4 linked regions of the Macaca mulatta genome follow. The protein of the gene in region 2 interacts with the protein of the main gene of each other region in a pairwise test. Links are inferred from orthologs where the notes say so. Each region holds a gene or a part of one and is shown on either strand. Other genes may lie near its edges.

Evidence for each region.
Region 1: the proteins of EDC3 (region 2) and DCP1A interact in binary tests that used the Homo sapiens proteins (3 or more experiments, as listed by UniProt). The two-hybrid records come from large-scale screens. The link is inferred for Macaca mulatta from reciprocal best matches to the Homo sapiens genes EDC3 and DCP1A.
Region 3: the proteins of EDC3 (region 2) and EFHC2 interact in binary tests that used the Homo sapiens proteins (3 or more experiments, as listed by UniProt). The link is inferred for Macaca mulatta from reciprocal best matches to the Homo sapiens genes EDC3 and EFHC2.
Region 4: the proteins of EDC3 (region 2) and ANXA10 interact in binary tests that used the Homo sapiens proteins (3 or more experiments, as listed by UniProt). The link is inferred for Macaca mulatta from reciprocal best matches to the Homo sapiens genes EDC3 and ANXA10.

The regions. Positions count from the first base shown.
Region 1 is NC_133407.1:116,924,823-116,928,393, forward strand, and holds part of DCP1A (mRNA-decapping enzyme 1A), read right to left. Parts: intron 1,322-3,571; exon of another isoform or gene 1,302-1,321; coding exon of another isoform or gene 1,261-1,301; coding exon 1,133-1,260; intron 1-1,132. UniProt on the Homo sapiens protein: Necessary for the degradation of mRNAs, both in normal mRNA turnover and in nonsense-mediated mRNA decay. Removes the 7-methyl guanine cap structure from mRNA molecules, yielding a 5'-phosphorylated mRNA fragment and 7m-GDP.
Region 2 is NC_133412.1:52,627,379-52,631,402, forward strand, and holds the start of EDC3 (enhancer of mRNA-decapping protein 3), read right to left. Parts: upstream 2,811-4,024; 5' UTR 2,642-2,810; exon of another isoform or gene 2,616-2,641; intron 1-2,615. UniProt on the Homo sapiens protein: Binds single-stranded RNA. Involved in the process of mRNA degradation and in the positive regulation of mRNA decapping. May play a role in spermiogenesis and oogenesis.
Region 3 is NC_133426.1:44,120,599-44,123,565, reverse strand, and holds the end of EFHC2 (EF-hand domain-containing family member C2), read left to right. Parts: intron 1-1,133; coding exon 1,134-1,235; 3' UTR 1,236-2,465; downstream 2,466-2,967. UniProt on the Homo sapiens protein: Microtubule inner protein (MIP) part of the dynein-decorated doublet microtubules (DMTs) in cilia axoneme, which is required for motile cilia beating.
Region 4 is NC_133410.1:176,692,803-176,696,373, reverse strand, and holds part of ANXA10 (annexin A10), read right to left. Parts: intron 2,562-3,571; coding exon 2,466-2,561; intron 380-2,465; coding exon 321-379; intron 1-320.

The sequences.
Region 1 (3,571 bases), on a different chromosome or scaffold from region 2:
TACCATAACCAGTTTTGATACCCCCTATAGTCAATGTAGAACAAACTGTCCTCAAACACCCATACCTTCAATATCCATACCAACACACTGGAATCAAGTACACTTTTTAGTACTGTAGTTTCTTGGAAGGGCCAATCTAGCTTTGCTGACTGCATCCAATTATCATTAGAGGCTGTAAAAATGCCTGAAAGAACCCTGGACTAAAAAGCAGAAGAGTTATAATCCTAACTCTCCAACAGAGTAATAGTTTTGCATCTCTGAGTCTTAGTTGCCTTAACTGCCTCCCTATAGCACATAGGTTACAAACATTAAAGCACCATAGCTCTTGGCTCAGTGCTGGTAACCAGCAGACACTCAATTAAATAAACAGATAGAAAAACCCTACTTAGAAACATATTCAGACAAAATAAAGTAGAAAAAGTAATAAATATCTTTTAAAAAAACCCCACCACCACTATTCTGGGCAAAAATAATACTTTCTTTGTGGAAAGAATTATCTGTATCTGCTCCCATCCTGTGTGTCCCAAACTAAGTTCTGTTGCTCAGGGATGTGGGCAGCTGATAGTCCACAGCTGCAAAAAAACAAAGGCATAAACCTTATTTTAATAAACCAACAACATAAATGTAGTGCTAGTAAACGAAATAGTAAACAAAATTATATACAAAAGAATGTTTCTAGTTTCAGACCCCAGTATATTTATTTATTTTTTTGAGACAGAGTCTCACTCTGTTGCCCAGGCTGGAGTGCAATGGCGCGATCTCGGCTCGCTGCAACCTCTACCTGCCAGGTTCAAGTGATTACAGGTGCCCACCACCAAGTCCGGCTAATTTTTTTCTGTATTTTTAGTAGAGATGGGGTTTCATCATGTTGGCCTGGGCGGTCTCGAACTCCTGACCTCAGGTAATCCGCCCTCCTCGGTCTCCCAAAGTATTGGGATTACAGGCGTGAGCCACCACGTCTGGTCTCAGAGCCCAGTTTAAAACGTCTGATCTTTCTAACAGACTCATTTATAATCATAAAGTATAGGCCATATTTTGTTTTGTAATTTGAAACTTACTAAATAATGGATTGATAGAAACTAAAGTCACTCGATTTTAAATGTAATAACTATAATAAAACAGATATACTCACAGCTTGCATTTCTATACAGAAGAAATGGTTCATGGAGCTGAAATTCCAAATCTTTATTCACTGGTTCAACTAGATTGTGCATATTTAGTCGATTCACAATGGTAAAACCATGGTAAGGGGAAGCTGACCTTAGATTTAATAGAAGGAAAAAAAAATATGCAGTTACCATTTAATCTGTAGAAATGTTATCTACTATGTGCTTTATTTTCATTTCAGAAAAGAATACGTTAGAACATACAATATTATCAAGCACTTACACCTGTAAACAAAACATTTAAGTCGGATTATATTCTTCCTCTGATGAGAAGTCTCCAAAGACAGTCTCTCAGAGTAAAGGTCAAAGTCCTTACTGAGGCCACCAAGGCCCCACCTGATGTATTCCCCCTCTGACTTCATTTCCTATGGCTCTTCCCCACCTCCTCCTCTCCAGCCACACTGGGCTCCTTGCCACTCTCTCTGCATGTGTGCTTCTACCTAAAGACCTCTTCCTGGATTACTGCCCCAGAAGCTGCACAGCTATCTCATCTCCTGCAAGCCTTTGTTCAGATGTCACCTTTTTCATGAGGCCTACTTGAACTACCCTTTTTAATGTTCCCAAGCTCAATACCTCTAACCTTTCTCTTTTATCCATACTACTTATTTTTAATATTAATTGTCCTGCCCCCACTAGGATGTAAGCCCCATGCAAATGGAGCTTTTGTCTTACTTTTTTCACACATACATCCCAATATAGACACACAGTTGCTGAATGAAATATCATTCCATTGGATTGGCTATAATGGCTGCCCATCATTACAATAATGGTTTTTCTTGCACCAAACAGATCTTTACATAGTGCTCCTGAGTTAGACAGAAAATGCCTTGAATCCTACAATAGGAAACATCCTTGGTTCCCGTATCAGAGGGATTCGGTATATGATCCCTTACTCTTCACATGTACCTAACATTTCATAGTTTTTCGTTTGTTTCTCTACGATATATATGGGGTGTTAACACTATTCTACAGACTAGAAGACAAGCTTTGAATGATTAAGGACTGTGCCTGAGGTCACACAAATAATGAGTTACAAATAATGTAATTCGGATTCAGTTTCAGGTTTTTTGACTCCAAATCCAAGCTTCTACTATACGAAGTAATCTCTGCAAAGTGATAGTCTGACATCCTGGTATACCTTTATCCAAGGTACACAAAATAGTCTCACATTTTCCAAACACAGTTTCTTGCGTCTCATTTAATTAGAATCAGTACCATATTAGACTCCGTGAATTGTATTAAATCCAGCCACCACTACACTAAATCTCCTACTTTCTATAATCAGTGCCTCTGTATGATAACAATAAACCCAGTAAAGTACCTTTTCCAAATATCATAGAAACTAAGGTTCTAATAACAGAGTTTCTAGAGATTTATACTGCTAATGAAGAGTAATGAAGGGAGTGAGGGTAAAGATCCCTTCCTATTTATTTATCTGTTTATTTATTTTATGAGAGTCTCGCTCTGTCGCCCAGGCTGGAGTGCAATGGTTTGACCTCGGCTCACTGTAAGCTCTACCTCCTGGGTTCACGCTATTCTCCTGCCTCAGCCTCCCGAGTAGCTGGGACTATAGGCACCCACCATCACGCCCAGCTAATTTTTTTGTATTTTTAGTAGAGATGGGGTTTCACCGTGTTAGCTAGGATGGTCTCTATCTCCTGACCTCGTGAACCACCTGCCTTGGCCTCCCAAAGTGCTGGGATTACAGGCGTGAGCCACTGCGTCTGGCCGATCCCTTTCTTTTTAAAAGAAGAAAGATGAATAGCAGCGAACAAACAAAGTGTCTAAGAAAGAAGAGCTTGGTGTACAAATATCAAAGAATTACACTTAAAAGAAGAAAAAAAATGGAGTGCATTTAGATAAGATCTCAAGGCTTTGTATCAAAATTTGGAAGAGTATTTGACAAATTATTTTAAATTGGCATCAATGGAGAAAGGCAATCCTTAAAAAGCAACTCAATGCAAAAAAAAAGGGAGAAGACCAGATATCAGTAATAACTCCTGCTGACTCAAGCTTTAGAAAACAAGGGAAGGAACCTGTCCTTGTCAGAGTAAGACCTTAGAGGAATCCAGGAAAACAAGCACCCCATGACTATCATATACTGTCAGTTGTCTTTAGGCCCCAGAAGCTGCCTAACAAAACAGTTGCAATTTGCAAACCAATCTTAAACATAATGAATTTTTGAATAAGTTAAAAATAAAAAATATGCCATTATGCATAATCCAAGCTTTCTAAAGAACTCTCAAACAAGACACTGTACAAAATCTAGAACTTCTGGGGGTTGGGAAAGAGGACAGAACCAGTCATAAAAGACAACCACCCATGCAGTAATAAAACAACAGAGGTAATGAAAAACATTATTTTACAGAGCTAGTCTATGTATTATCTTTTCCCCAAATATATAT
Region 2 (4,024 bases):
CCAGCTGCAAGTAGTGCTCACAAATCAAATCTCCATACACAGATGCTCAAACTCATGACTCCATCTAATTCTACCACAATCTGGCAAATTCCTCCATCTCACCCACTCGGTTATCATAAGACTTAGTAAGACCAGGCGCAGTGGCTCACACCTGTAATCCCAGCACTTTGGGAGGCTGAGATGGGTGGATCACCTGAGGTCAGGAGTTCGAGACCAGCCTGGCCAACATGGTGAAACCCCATCTCTACTAAAAATACAAAAATTAGCCAGGCGTGGTGACGCATGCCTGTAATCCCAGGTACTTGGAAGACTGAGGCAGGAGAATCGCTTGAACCTAGAAGGCGGAAGTTACAGTAAGCAGAGATTGTGCCACTGTACTCTGTCCAACCTGGGCAATGGAATGAGACTCCATCTCAAAAAAAAAAAAAAAAAAGACTTCATAAATGCCTTGCTAAAATTCTGACACACTATCATTATGGTCACTATACTCCTTTGAGACACAATTTGGATGTCCTGTCCTGCTGTTCTGGCTGAATTTAGGAGAAATCTAGTAAGCCCTTCTCTGAATAAGAAAAGAAAAATGAGGCTGGGCGCGGTGGCTCAAGCCTGTAATCTCAGCACTTTGGGAGGCCAAGACGGGCGGATCACGAGGTCAGGAGATCAAGACCATCCTGGCTAACAGGGTGAAACTCCGTCTCTACTAAAAAATACAAAAAAACTAGCCGGGCGAGGTGGCAGGCGCCTGCAGTCCCAGCTACTTGGGAGGCTGAGGCAAGAGAATGGCGTAAACCCGGGAGGCCGAGCTTGCAGTGAGCTGAGAGCCGGCCACTGCACCCCAGCCTGGGCGACAGAGCGAGACTCCGTCTCAAAAAAAAAAAAAAAAAAAAAAGAAAGAAAAATGATAATGTATTAATTACAGAATCTCACAAATGGCAAAGATTTTAAGCATTTTCTAATGTTGTTTTTCTTAGAGACAGAGTCTTGCTATGTTGCCCAGGCTGGCCTTAAGCAATCCTCTCACCACTGCACTCGGCCCTAGTCTAATATTTTTCTTCTCTTTTTTTTTTTTGAGACAGAGTTTGGCTCTTGTTGCCCAGGCTGGAGTGCAATAGCACTATCTTGGCTCACTGCCTCCTGGATTCAAGAGTTTCTCCTGCCTCAGCCTCCCAAGTAGCTGGGATTACAGGTACCCACCATCACACTCAGCTAAGTTTTATATTTTTAGTAGAGACAGGGTTTCACCATGTTGGCCAGACTGGTCTCCAACTCCTGACCTCAGGTGATCCACCCGCCTCAGTCTCCCAAAGTGCTGGGATTACGGGCGTGAGCCACAGTGCCCGCCCTTAATATTTTTCAAACTATACCTCACGACCTATTAGGGCTCAGACACAATTTAGTGCGTTGCAACCAATTTTTTTTTAGAATGCATCTTCTGTAGAAAGGGTAAGTAAACTTTTCATCGGTGGGTGGGGCTGTGTGTGTGTGTAGACACTGAGTGTGCAGGGGCACAATGAGTAATGTCGTGATGTAAAATATATCTAACTGCAGGTCACAGGTCAAAAATTTTGAGACACTTTTCTAGCCCCATAACCCTATGCCAAGGAAGCTCTACCAAGAATTTGGTAATAAACAAAAAGTCATGTTTTTACAACCATTTTTACATCATACAGAGAAACCAGCTAAGAGAATTTTGTGCTCAGTACACCTAATCTGCCATTCATTAAAAAAAAAAAAAAAAAAGATTAGGATCCATCTGGGTGTCCAGCTGAAATACTAAACTGCTTGGAGACAGCCATTTCTGTTTTGGTGGGGTGAAGACCTGTATTTGAGACAGCAGACTGAAATCGGTTTGGTCTGTGGCTAGGGAAGAAAAGAAAAACCATTCTGGGTCGTGAGTTCCTTATCTGTAACCAGAGGAGAAGATTGTTGGCTTGGTCAGTTGATTTTCAACTAATATCCCAATTGCAGAGTTAGGCGAAGCAATTGCTACTGGGAGATTAATTGAAAATCAATTGACCAAGCCAACAAGGGCTATGCCTCCCACAAACCAAAACACTTTAGCCACTCAACAAGTCAAGTATTGATAAATACAATCAATATCACACAAAGAGTACTGATAAGAACCACAGACTTGCACCAAAGGCAGAAATGAATCCAGGGATAACTTCCTGGGATTCAGAAGATGTGACCTGGTAAGTATAAATTTCTCAGGCATCCTCTTTTTCTACCCTCCAGTTCACCTCTGTCCTCAAGCTATTAGTCATGGATGTGGCACTGGCGTTCTTCTCTGCCACCATATCTCATTATGCAAAGGGAAACTGAGGCATGAAGAAATCAGTGAGCCAATGAACTACAGCAGCCACCAACAAGGCTGGACTAAGGGCCCAAGCAGCTAATGCCTCACGCCTCACACAATCCCCGTACTATTTAGAATCCTGCAGTCCTCAGCCTCCCACCTCAAACCAAACTCCTGCGGCCGCCCATAGTACCTGGCCCCCTGCGAACCCGATGAAGCCCCCAGCTCTTGCCTGCCTTCCTCTATAAAGGTCTATGAGGCCTGGAACTCCGAAGCCTAAAGCAAGCCCGGCATCCCCCTCCCACGAGCGTCCACACACCAGCAGCCTCTTCCCTTCGCTCCCACCTCCGCCCCGACGGGCCTGGAGCTCCTCCGCACACCACACCAAGCCGACCACGCAATACCAGAGGACCCACAGAAGAACTCTCTCCACGCCCACCCCTACAGCTTCGGCCGTCACCGCCGCCGCCGCCGCCGCCGGAAGCGCCCCCACGTCTCCACGCCACCGCCGTGAGGTCACTTCCCGCGCGACACCTTGGAATCCAGGGCAAGCAACTGAGGGGCGTGGCGCCCGGGAAATTTAAGAGGTTGGAAGAACGTCCCTTCGGCCTTACAGAATTGCGCTTGCGTAGCCATTTTGCTTTCCACGCTTACTTACGTCCTATGCCATCTTGGCTGAAATCGGGGCTCTACCCACGACTCCTCGGCCTCGATGCCCGGGCCCCGTGTTGCAGGCTCGATGCAAAGCCTCCGCTTCCCCTCCTGTTCCCCCAGCGCCAATCGGAGAGCTGGAGCGGAGGACTTTCAGGGAGGCCCCCTCCGTGCTATACCGCAGCTGTGGGACTCAATAAGTGGGACAACCCCCTGATGGATTAAAGAAAACAAGATATTTCTGCCGTGGTCGATCTTCAAAGCGTTATCAGCTTCAGCCCATTTGGGGCTTAGAATAGCCAGTCCATGCTTGACTGCTCTCCCTTCCCCCATATTCAGTACACGGGAAAGTACTGCTCTTCTACCCTTGGCATTTTAGAGTCTTGATTTGTAGGGAGAGGGGAAAGCATGTGTTTGGGGCCAAGACAGTGTAATGAGGAATATTGCATGGCCTTGAAGCCTGACACCTGGTTTGGGAACCACTACTTGGGCGAGTAGCATAGAGTAGGGTAGCAGTTCCAAACCTAGCTCTACAAAATCAGTTGAAGAACTTTGTAAAATTTCCACTTTCTAGGGGACTACTTCGCCCTCCCCATCCATCACCAGAGATTCCCTAGGTCAGAAGGGGTCTTTGTCTTTTACTGTTATTAACCAACACTTCTAGAGCAGTTTTTGGTTCAGGGCAAAATTGAACAGAAAGTAGAGAGTTCCCATATATCCCCTGTACACATAGGCACACACACACACAACTTGTCCCCTTATGGACATCTTGTGCTACAGTGGTACATTTGGTAACAATTGATGACCCTACTTTGACACATCATTATCACCCAGAGTCCATAGTTTACAATAGCATTTTCTCTCGGTGTTGCACATTCTGTGGGTTTTGACAAATATATAATGACATGTATCCACCATTATGGTATCATCCACGATAGTTTCACTGCCCTGAAAATCCTCTGTCCTCTGCCTATTCATCCTTCTCAGTCCCCTGACCACTGGCAACCACTGCTCCTTTTACTGTCTCCATAGTTTTGCCTTTTCCAGAATCGCATATAGTTGGAATCATACAGTATG
Region 3 (2,967 bases), on a different chromosome or scaffold from region 2:
TTGTGTGTGTGTGTGTATATACACATATATTTACATATTATATACAATGTGCATCTGTGTGTGTATATGTATACACACACACACACACACACAAAGTGGCTTATCTGCAAGATCACACTGTGAGTGATCCAGTGTTCTTTTCATTGTTTACGGAAGAAACAGTAACCAAGCAGCCAGTATAGCTACCAGTTTGTATTTTAAAAATTGGGTTCTTTAGGCGGCAGTTCACGCCTGTAATTCCAGCACTTTGGGAGGCTGAGGTGGATGGATAACTTGAAGCCAGGAGTTTGAGACCAGACCAGTCCGGCCTATATGGCGAAACCCGTCTCTCCTAAAAATACAAAAATTAGCTGGGCGTGGTGGCATGTGCCTGTAATCCCAGCTACTCGGGAGGCTGAGGCATGAGAATCACTCGAACCTGGGAGTCAGAGGTTGCAGTGAGCAGAGATTGCGCCACTGTACTCCAGCCTGGGCAACAAAGTGAGACCCTGCCTTAAAACAAATAAAATAAAAATAAAAATTGGGTTCTTAAGAAAGTATAGGAGGATCTATCACTGTATTAATGCTGCATGACAACTCCTGAAATTTCAGTGGTTCACAAGAAGGCACATTTCTTTTTCTTTTCTATGGGCATGTAGGTCAGTGAAGCATGGCTGGATTCAGCTAAGCTTGGCTCTTAGTCTGCAAGTCCAGCCTGGTCTGATCCCCCTTGGTCATTCTAAAAACAACGGCATCCTGGGCCATGTTCTTTTCATGGTGATGGCAGAGGCACAGAAGGCCAAGCCAAATGATGCCAGCACACTAGAGCCTCTGTTCATGATATGTCTGCTAACAGTACATAGGTCAAAGCCAGTCATGTGGCCAACCACATATCAAAGGAACAGGAAAATATACTCTTCTTACTCCACGGGAGGTTCTGCAGAGTCATATGACAAAGAGTGTGGGCACGTAATTCTTATACAGGGAGGGAATGAAGAATCAAGAACAAGTATCCAGTCTACCACAAAGTCTTTATGAACCTGAAGTAGATGGTAGAAATTTTCCCTTTGAAAATAAACTTCGGTGTTGAATTTTCAAAACTGTACTTTGAAATGTGGTTCTAATCATATCCATTTTTGTTTTTTTTTTTCTAGAGATGTGAAGATATCTGGCTTGGCATGCCATCACCTATTCCTGCGAAATACATTGACTACTTGACCCTTTTGAAGGATGTGTTTGGCTTAGAGGAGGAATAACCATGCCAGTTTTGGTCAATTCTCTTTGATTTACTTCTCTCATTTTGCCACATTTACTTTAGTAGATATAATTTCATTAAAAACAAAAAAGAAACAAGGTTTATATTAAATGGAAATCCACAAATCACAATTAATCCTATTTTGTCATGTTAGTTTTTCAGAACATCATGTTATATTTCTGCCGTACTGTTACTATTTAAAATGCCATCTTAAAACATGTTGAATATTTTTATTATATGTATATTTTATTAATACCAAAAAATCTTCTGATAATTTTTCATCCAACGTAATTTGATTCATTAGTATATGAACAGAAAATAACTTCTGAAAGTTATACATGACAATACAAAATCAAATTATATCACAGCAATAAGTTGTGATTCTATTAAATATTTTTGAAACCTTTTTGACACATTTATTACTTATATAGTTAAGTTTTGTAGCAACCCACCTCATCAAAATAATTCTTAAACCTCTCTAGAGTAAATATGTTTATTTTTTAAACTTAGTAAAGCTATGGGAAGAAAAAGAACCTCCCCAAAACATACACACACACACACACACACACACACACAGGAAACATATGCAGTATTTATATTTGTAATGCCCTTTTTTCTATCTAAAGTCAGCTTGTTAGCTTAGGAATATATGCATGTGTATATAATTATAGTTTGACCAAAAATTTATTATGTCTAAAATATTTACAAATGTGAAAGCTGAAGATTTTGAGATTTTTTTTTTTTTGGTTTGTTTTACACACACATCCCACCCGCCCCACCCTAGAGGTTTAAATATTCAGAAACTACAACATTTTTCCCCTGCATTTTTCTAGTTCTATTTTTATTTTTCTTCAGCAGAACTCTTGTCATGTAGTATACATTTGATTAAAACCCATAGCCATGTACCTCTGGGAATTCAGTGTAAGAAGTCTATCCCCGTCTATCCCATTGTTCAATGTGGGGTGCTATGTATCATAAATCCATTTGCCTGGTGTTCTGGGAGACAATGGAGGTCTCTCAAGAAGGAACTGCAGGGACTACTCTGAGAAGAAGAGGAGCTGATGACATCTCAAGGGACCCTTCGGACTCATTATTCTTTCACTCCACATTTGCAGCAGTGTCTTGCTGGCTTCTTGGCACTCAAATGTACCAATTTACTCTTGACAACAATGGCCCTTTCATTTTTAAAAAATTGAAGTTAATCAATAAACGATTTCTATATATAAACCTAGAATAATTCCACACGTGCTATTGTTAGAATAGATGCTCCCCCCCAACCCTTTCAGGACTTAACACTAAACTAGTATACTCAATTTATATACCAAAACTATCTACCATAAATCCTAAATTTGACTACTTGATTTTTGTCCCAGGTTTTTTTTAAGGCAACTGACAGTGCCAAGCCATTTTGTCACTTTAAGATTTTTCATTCCCCAGAGAGCAAGCTTTTAGAAGGATGACACTTTCCTGGAACTTTTCAAGCTGACACATTCGTCACTTACCTATTCAACTCTTCAGTCAGTTGTCTTTCCTTCAAGAGTTTAAATATGTAGATAATTTAGCCCTTGTAAAGGCTTATAATGTAGTTCATTTGAGAAGCTGGGGGAGAAAAAGGAAGCAAACCAATGACAATGCTCCTGAGTTTGTGGGGTGACAACTGCTTATTCTATTGCATAGATGTGTGTTACTGCTCTGGTTGTTTCTGGTTCAAGCCCACAATTAGCAATGAAATG
Region 4 (3,571 bases), on a different chromosome or scaffold from region 2:
CCGATGTGGGGATCTTTGGAAATATACAAAGACATTTGAATTTACCAGTTTCTGCAGATGTTAAATAACCTCTAAAGTACACGGGGATATATACCCCAAATATGGTTCCCTAAATTTGATACAGAAGGCAGAGCATTATTTTTATTGGATGTGTCTTATTTTTGGTGTCTAAACCATTTTGTTTTTCACTTGGGTGTATTTTCTTTGTACATACAAGTTCAAAAATGGTAATGAACATTTAAATGATGGAAGTAAATTTATCCTTTGACAAACAGACACAATTTCTGGAGAAATTTTAAAAATATATGAGTCTTACTTACATGAATTGCACTATATAATCTATAAGCAAAATAGGCTGGTTTGTCTCGAACACAGAGAACTAGGAGAAATCAGAGAGAAGAAACATTGAGAGTGAAAACATACATTTTCGTCAGAATTTGAGAAACAATAGCACTTTTCCTGTTACAATTCTTACATTGTATTATAATGTCAACACTTACAATAATGGTAACACTATAAGCCACAGGAAAAAAATATAAAGCAACAACATTATAATGAGTCATGCAGATTTTCACTTGATCTATTTCTATCTGTTGGAACTCTTATTAGTTCCTTCATGTAGCCTAATGAAGAAAACTTTATCATCTTTATCTGAAAATTAAATCAAAAGAGCTTCAAAGAAACCTAGGTTATTACCACTATTATAGATTATTATTATCATCATTGTAGGATTCAATATGATATAGCTCCCATGTAATTTGTTCATCTATTTGAATACTATTTTTAGTAACTTACAGATTTGTGAGTAGACCTGAAGTCTCTGAAGGAGAAACTGTATGGACCACAACTGGTGTAGAACAGTTTTAGAAGTCATCTAATAAAAACTGCTAAGGCATTAGAACAGCCTAGAGAATGGTCAACAGTTATCCTTGCTGGAAGTCAGCTGATGATCATAAACTTTCAGTAATGTTTATTTGAATAGGCTAACAAATTAATACATGAATGGGTAATGTATGAGAGGCTATAATCTCTAGCCAGAATGAAATCATCATAACAGTGTTTCCCTAGTAGTTTAAGTAATGATTTTAGGTTGTGAGATTATACCCTCATCTTTTCTTTCATTTTTAATACATGAAACATCATAATCACTCTTGAGTCATAGTCTTTATAACCTCCTTGAAGGCAGTGACTTTTGCTGTTTCTGTTGTTTCATTGTTCTATCTGTCGTGCCTAAGTCAGTGTCTAGAACAGTAGGTGCTCAATAAATGTCTACTGAGTGAATAAATCAGTTGAAATGTTTTCTGCCATTTATAATGTCCACCACTTCCTCTCTTATGCCCACTGCTTTGTGGCAGGGGTCTATAGTGGAAAGAAAGCTATCTTGAGATTCGGATATTATGAGTTTTAGTCATAACTTGGTTGCTAATCAGCTGATCGGCTTTGAGGCAGTCAGTTAATTTCCTTAGGCATTGTTTATAAAGTGAAGGATTTTGATGTGGTATGTGGTTATTAAATTTTGTAGAGAATTTTCTGGAATAAATGTGACATCCTCAGAAAAAAATACACAGTTATTAATAGTCATTTCTTGCATACTATTTTAGGGGCTTCATCAAACTGTTTTCATGGAACCCTAGCTTGAGACTTCTTTACTGGATAAGCTGCAAAAGTTCCTTTATCTCTCAACTGTCACACTCATGTATGCTTCTGCCATTCAAGGATGGAAAATCACAATATTCATTTATTCAACTAGTATCTAGGTGATTACTTGACTGTGCCTTCGATGGAGATATTTCACAATGACCCCCTTTGGTCGTCCCTGAAATGTGTGCTGTCAGCTCACAGCACAGTACAAGACAAAGGTAGTTCTATTGCACAGGTAGTTCTATTGCAGTTTTTCTGGATAAGTAGCCCTGTTTTGTCCTCTATGGAGGGATATTATTTCTTAGGAAGGAGCAAGAGGTGTGCCACTATCACAATAGCCTGAGGAAAATCACTACTTAGTAAATCTCTTTTATGGTAGGATTTACTCCTAAACCAAAATTTGTTAGTAATGGTCACTAAAAAATCCTTTACCTCCTAAAGAGAAGAGAAGCACACTGTTAAGTATTTATCTGCTCTTGAGCAAGGGAATGGAAGTCAGTAAAGATAAAATGGATTGAACAGTGTGAGAAGCCAATTCCGAAGAGAAAATACCTGAGAATGATGTGTTTTTCTGGTATGAAAGTTGAACTAGCTGTTGGGGGGGTATCAGTTCATTAAAGTCATCAGGTTGCCAGTTTAGTGCATTTTATTAGTAACTGATGTACTCTTCCACTATGGAGTTTACATCCTTTTAAATAATAAAATTCAAGGGAAAAAAATGACTCGATCAAGAGCTTACTCATGTGTCTTTAGTTCATTCAGAGCCGCTCAGCATTTATTAAGAAATAAAATGTCTGCTGTACTTCAAATAATTTATTACTTACCAATTGCAACCAACAGCTCCTGAAAGTATCCATCATAACATTCATTAATGGCATCTACCATGTCTTGCCCAGAAATATTTTGAAATTCCTGAAAAACTTCAACAAATTGATGTAATTCAAAGGAGATTTTGAAAATATTATAAATGTATAATATAAATATTAATTAGATTGTTACACATACTAAAAATCCATATTTTCCATAAAATAATTAAAAGTACTACTGCTACCAATTCTGTTTATTATAAATACCATTGAAACAAATATAGATACTCTTAGTAGAGTCATCATAAATCTTGAACTTCAAAGACCTGTTATTATTCTCTTCTCCTGGGGAACAAATGCCACCTCCAGTGAGACCCACTAACTCACTGCTGATTTAAATTGAGAGGAAGCACACAGCAAGCCATTATTTATGGACCAGTTATTTAGGACATATAGGCTTATGTCAACAACAAACTTCCTACTAGAGCTTAAATATGAGAATTAAGTGTAAAAGTCCTCTCCGTGATGATTAAAATAGCAGTCAAAGTATCTATAAAGAACATTCTGAGAAAGATGAAATCAACTTTATGGTTATAGACTAGAGTTTACTAATTTAGAATTGTGATAAATTAAGATTCCTTATTTCAAGAACTTAGTTATATGACTATCCCAGGCAACTTTAGTTCTCATCCATTCTTACTCAAAATTAGAAGCAAGAAGATGCCTTTTCATTATTATTATATGATTATCATTAAGACAGGTAATGTCTCTTATTGACTTGTAAAGTCCAGATGTGGGATTGGGGTAGGGTAGGCCATCTGTTGAAAATTTTCAGCCATTTGTGTATTTTATATAGAAAAAACAAAATTTGTTTTTAATAAAAGAAAAAGAAAGATATTGTAGTTTAGGGAATAAACAAAGGGCAAACTAACATGAGTGCACTCTCTAAAACCAATAAGGTTCTATCAATATTGCAGAAATCATGACATCAATAATAATGACCTTGATGCAGTATTGACTGGTTAAACTATATTTACTATACATTTTTGCAAGACAACATATAATATACCTAGTAAGAAATAGCTAATATATTTGAATAAGTACTCCATCAAATACAGAGATAA